Danio rerio: one gene and its partner. The protein of the gene in region 2 purifies or fractionates together with the protein of the main gene of each other region. This does not show direct contact. Links are inferred from orthologs where the notes say so. Each region holds a gene or a part of one and is shown on either strand. Other genes may lie near its edges.

The links. The genes of interacting proteins can lie anywhere in the genome.
Region 1: the proteins of gab1 (region 2) and met purify together in Homo sapiens (affinity purification with western blotting; 3 studies listed by BioGRID and IntAct, with this or other methods). This does not show direct contact. The link is inferred for Danio rerio from reciprocal best matches to the Homo sapiens genes GAB1 and MET.

What each region holds. Positions count from the first base shown.
Region 1 is NC_133200.1:19,674,495-19,677,004, forward strand, and holds part of met (hepatocyte growth factor receptor), read left to right. Parts: intron 1-1,410; coding exon 1,411-1,621; 3' UTR 1,622-2,510. UniProt on the Homo sapiens protein: Receptor tyrosine kinase that transduces signals from the extracellular matrix into the cytoplasm by binding to hepatocyte growth factor/HGF ligand. Regulates many physiological processes including proliferation, scattering, morphogenesis and survival.
Region 2 is NC_133176.1:38,713,705-38,717,373, reverse strand, and holds part of gab1 (GRB2-associated-binding protein 1), read right to left. Parts: intron 2,899-3,669; coding exon 2,673-2,898; intron 200-2,672; coding exon of another isoform or gene 110-199; intron 1-109. UniProt on the Homo sapiens protein: Adapter protein that plays a role in intracellular signaling cascades triggered by activated receptor-type kinases. Plays a role in FGFR1 signaling. Probably involved in signaling by the epidermal growth factor receptor (EGFR) and the insulin receptor (INSR).

The sequences.
Region 1 (2,510 bases), on a different chromosome or scaffold from region 2:
AAATGTCTTTCTTAAAATTAAAAATGATTAATAATCACTTTTTTAACAGAAATATTTTAATTTCTACTCTAAAACAAAGCTAAAATGCTGGGGAAAAACATAAAATAATATTAAACAAATTTGAATTTAATTCATATTTAAACAATTTTATTTATATTGAAAAAAATACCTAAATTTAAATACAAAACATATATATTGAAGTCAGAGGTGCCCAAACATTTTCTTATAAATGGCCAAAAATCAAACTTGATTTAGGATTGTGGGTCGATGGTAAATCTACCAAACCTGTATTTCATTAAAGTTGCCATGGGTAATTTCCTAATTTATTTCATAATAATTAAAAATAAATAGCGAAAATTTGAATTTACCCATATTAGCTAATGCATTTTATCTTTTTACCTCGTATAATTAATTTATTACAATATAAACAAATGATTCATATTAACACTATAGAGTCAAATGCTGTATACACTAGTCAAGTGACAATATTTGCATAAAAAACAAAAATTTAATTAATTTACAACATTTTAGGTTAGCTTTTTTTGAAGCTTAACAATAAAACCAACAAAAATATTATTCTGTCTATATAATCTATATCATTAAATGCCTGACCACACTTCGTTATTATTGTTCATTTATTTGTTTGCTGGAAATTAGAACTGAATTTAGAAATAGTTTTAATACAAATCTTTGCGCTTAATAAACAAAATTAAATATGTAATGGATGCCTTCAACAGAGTGCGTACAACACCGTTTTCTTATCCACAAAAGTAAAGGAGTAAAGAAAAGAGAAAGTAAAGAAGCCGAATGGAGGAGGCTCATTCTTTATCCTCGCGCTGTGGATGGTTTGCCTAACTGTTTTCTCTCTAGTGAAGCTTTCAGTTTTTCCACTAACAAAGTCCACCATGTAAATTGCAAATGCACCATGGCGTGACGCAACTGACTCTTAAAGGGAATGGGAGACAAGTCTCTGATTGGTTTAATGCACGTTATGCTCAAAACACACCCATTACTCATTAAGAGAATGAGCACAACCCTGTAAGACTATGCGCTGCTGCGCAAACTGTATTTTTCCATCCTTAAAATAGCAAAAGTGGATTCAGACAAACCCTTAATGCTTTTGCACCCTGCGCTTTAGACTTTGCACTTAGATTGTTAAAATAGAGCCCTTGTTGTGCTTGTGAACTATTACCTAAAATAATCCTGTAATTTTAAATCGTCTCGTCTTTGCCATGAAAATGAAACAATTAATGGCATTTTGGAATCATTTAACAAAATGTACTTGTATGTCAATGTTATCATCAATTTGCATTGTTCTACTAAGTTTCCCCACAAGGTGTCACTATTAAACATCAGCAACAAAACAAACATTATTTTCTTTTGACTCTATTTTTTTGCCTTTCTTTATAGCTATAATGTCATGATTGAGTGCTGGCACCCCAAACCCGAGCGTCGACCAACTTTCTCAGAACTAGTGTCTCGCATCTCCGCCATCTTCTCAAGCTTCAGCGGAGAGCACTACATCCTCCTGAACACCACCTACGTCAACATCGACAAAATGACACCCTACCCCTCTCTCATATCATCTCAGAGCAACCTCGACCGCGACTGCTGCACCTGAGACACCAAAAAAAAAAAAAAAAAAGAGACCATGAAAGACTCTGGACAGGCTTTCATCATTGAGGCAGGGGGGAGGAAAAGAGTGGCCCAAGGACACTGTGAAAGACTTAAAAGGCCCGAACACTCCCTTCATCATCGCTGTAAATAGATTATGATGATCCGTGACCTGTGGAGGAGCTTGAGATGGTCCTGTTCTCCTGGGACGGAGAGCCAAAGACTAACGGCCTCCTATTCGATGTGAGCGTCTGATCCAATTTTGCTCTAAGCGTGTTCTCTGGCGATAACTGAAAGTGCGATTTTATTTTCTGTGAAAAGTGTCGTAAATTGTTGTGCATGCCTTCGTACCATGAACTGAACGCTGCATAATGAGGAGATCAGGAGAACACCGGACACATATTTTTGTTGTTGTTTTTTATCCAGGCCGATATGAATGAAATGGTTTTGTTTACTGTGTTCAGATAAATCTTATCTGTTCGACATTTGGATCTTACTGCCGTAGTAGTTCTATATTTTTATATATATAATCTGTTTAAGTTTAGTGTCAAAGCAAACATTAAAGGCCTGCATGGAATATGCACAGGTTTTTTTTTTACACTGATTGGGTCATGAAATCTGTAAAATGAATTTGAGGTATGGTTTAAGTAAAGTAAAATGTAAAATGTTTGTTAATTTTTTTTTCTGTAATGGTCTGATAATATTTCTTCCAAATTTCAAGTTCAAATATGGTCATTTAGGGCATTTTTTGTCTCGGAAAAGGATGTTAGGTCACAATTCCAAATGTTTTCATTTAGCGATTGAACATCAGGGTCATCCCTTCAAATAGTACTTCGTTGAATGAAAATTTTTGAATTGGGTAAGCTAAATTGTCCTTATGTATGTTTAATAATGAA
Region 2 (3,669 bases):
TACTGAAAAAAGGTATGCACACATTCAGGTAAAAACAACAGTGTCAGACTATTGGCCAAATGTGTGTGCGGTTTAGTACTGAATTTTCACACTGATGCTCTTCACTCACTGACTGTCATGAGCAGCGCTCCGGCTCTCACACTCCTCCAAAAGCAGGTATTCCTGCTCCTCCTCCCCTAGACAAAGAGGAGCAACTAGACTACACCACACACAAATACACACAATGAGCCCCTTATTTCCAGATCTTTACTCATCATACCTGAACGTACTCAAAGCTTTCAGTAGAGGTGGGCGGTTTTTTACATTACATAACGCTGATACTGATATACACTGATATAAATACAACAGACTCAAAAAGGGAACAATCCTATATAACAAACTGTTGGATAAAACAATGCATTCCAATGGCAACTAATTTAGTGGCTAATTTGTATGATCTCATTTAGGGCTGCACGATACATCGCTTCAGCATCAAAATCGCGATGTGCGCATCCGCAATAGTCACATTGCAGGAGGAGCGATGCAAAGCAAAAAAAATAATAATAACAATAATATATATATATAACTGCCATATTATTTTATTTATTGTAAAGTTAATTGTTGGTAATTATTAAAACAAGTTTATCTTATCCACAATTGTTTTATAACATGTTTATTTTTTTTTAAACCACTCAGGGGGTTATTGTTTAGCTGTTTTTATATTTTTACAATTTTGTGACGAGATATTTCCTTCTGTTTTTTAATTGTTGTAATAAAAAAGTTTGTAATTGTTAAAAAGTTAAATAACTTATTTTGTCACTCGTGTTAATTCCTAAATGTGATAATAAAGTGTCATCTTTACATTCACCAAATGAGCTTACCTTTATCACAGTAAAAGCAACATTTAGTATTAATATCATAACATATTAGATCCTTGATTTATCTGAATTGACAGTTAAGTCATATTTTTTATAAACAACCCAAAAGAAAGTGTTTTTACTTATTAATTTTTATATTCTATGAAAATGCTTAAAAAATTACCCAAATTATTATAGAATTAATGATTATTTAATTTTTGAGCAGTTCAAAACTCCCGATTCTGAATTTTTAAAATATCGCAATATATATCGCAGGGAAAACAAATATCGCAATGTCAATTTTTTCCGATATCGTGCAGCCTTAATCTCATTCATATATTTTAGTACGATTTTCCCATCTCCCAGAGAGGGGTAGTGGTGGGTTTTTGTGCCCATGCCTCCTGTTAAAAATCATATATATTCATAAGAACGAAATTGCATGAACTTTTTCGAGTTGACCATTTTTTTTAACAATATGCACAAAAGTTACATTTGCTCGTGAGATGTTGATGGATGAGCCATCTTTTAAAATAGCCAATAAATGGGTCCCTCTTTATTCGAGGGAGTTATGTTCTAAAAATAACCCACAATAGGCAAAATCCTTGAAATAGTCTGCTTTATTTTTACAATTATTATAGATGTTTTAAGGCTGTAAAACTTCTCATAACATACTTCATACACTTTTCTCAGACAGGCATTAACCTTTTCACACTTTTAGCTCTTGTTTAAACACTCACAAAGTTCAAACCTTCGTAGAAAAATAAGTCCAGTGTTATAAAATGTAACCAAATATTTGATTGATCATTTATTTATTTTCTCTAATGACACCCTACAGCAGTGTAACTTCTACCTTCCTTTAGCATGTCCAGAAGTTCTACTTTTTGTGGAATGGTTAGCATCTTCCTCTGCCTTTTACAGTAAAGCACTTTAGAGTAACATTGCTAGCGATCGAAGATGTATGTAAATTTGGCAAGCTGAACGCATTCTGTACTGTACAGAAAACACAGCATTAAGGAAATTGATTGAAAACTTTCTACAGCCAATCAGGGCACAGAACACTATCAGGGCGCAGAACACAATACAATGTAGAAAAATAGCATGTCGAATTGCACAAAAAAATGGTGAAACTGCGAGGCTGCGAAAAGTGAACCGTTATGCCAAAGGATGTCTGTATACACATCTGTAGCTATGTTTCCATCCAAAGATGCAAAATAAAACTATGCGCAAGATTAGAATATTACATAAAAAGAGTTGAGATTAAAGAAGCACTTCCATCCCATGAGTCAAAGAGAACAAAATAGTCACGTCCTGATAAACTGGTGCCAAATATCAAAAAGAACAACGGAATTTGCTGAGGTACAGAATAAATCGCTTGTGCTTGAGAGGACAATGCCAACACGACGATCTTGACAGTTCTGGAGGCAACTAATACTATAACAATAATACTGAAATAGTTACAGCATACTAGAATGACCAAAACAACATGTCAGATGTTTTACAATGTTGTCAGCATGCTCAGTTGTCCATTAATGCATCCCATCACATGCATTCTCATCATCACATGAAGTCTTAAAACAAAATCACATCACTTTTTTAAAATGAATGTATTCTGTAAAAGTGTTTCCATCGTAGTTTATGTGCATTTTTTATTGAATTAAACGTTTATTGTATTAATCGTATTATTTATCGAATTTGTTTTCATAGCTTATCGTATTATTTTTTTATGCGCATCATCAAAGTTTATATGCATCTTGGCATTTTAATCAAGCATTTGTTAATGCAATAATCCAAAATGTGCACAAAAATAAGTGTATGGAGACATAGCTTGGGATTTACCTGTTAGGCTCAGGTTTTTTGCTCTCACAGTTGAGCAGCCAAAGGTAGTCCTGAGGCTCATCTAGACTGGAGGATGATCCCAGCTGTCTGATGCTAACGGGCTGGTAGGGAGGAGGCAGGTTGGCTAATGCAGACGCCCCTAAAGCTCCGCCCAGCCCTCCACTAGGGGCCATATCCACGACCAGACCGCCTGGCACATTAACATGATGAGAGACCTTTGCAGAGTCTGTAGAAAGAACAGTGGGGTTAGAGAGGTTAACATAAAAGCTTCACACTTTATGAGATCACGAGCTTCGAGACACATTTAAGATTAGATCAAACTAAGGGCTACACTGCTTATTCAAAAGCTTTTACTGAAACCGTTCCTGTGTAAAACAAATTACTATTGTGAAAGTGTCTTTAAAGGATGACTTCTGGTAAGCTAAGAGCACTTGGAAAAAAAGAACTATAAATTGTGAAAATTAAATTGTGAAAATACAAGGTGTGGCTGTGAAATGTACTGCACGCACAAAAAAGTACACAAAAAAAATCAAATATCAAATAATTTTATTTGGTTCGAAAAAAAAAATTATATAAGTAATTAAAAAATAACGTCTTATTCATTAATAATAATAATTTGTTGCTTAATCACACTGTTTTCTGGAGTGCTTATAGAATATTTTTACAAATATTCAGCTCTCTATGTAGGTTTGTTTTAAGAGGTCCATATAGAACTCATCGTTGCATATTATACATACAAAGTTTACTTCAACCTAAGTTCCGCATACAATATCATTGGTATTTGTTTCTTTTTAAATGTGTTTATTTTAGTTTCACTTCTTATTTAAAGCAGTTTTTTGTTCCATTTACCTCCTCAGATTCTCTTTGACATATGCAACAGAATTATTTTTTGTTCCAAGAATTACATACAACAGAAAGTGGGTCTCAAACTGCCGGCCTGCGGGACATTTACGGCCCCACCCTCCGGCCCGCAACTGATGTCAAAAATGTACCGAAA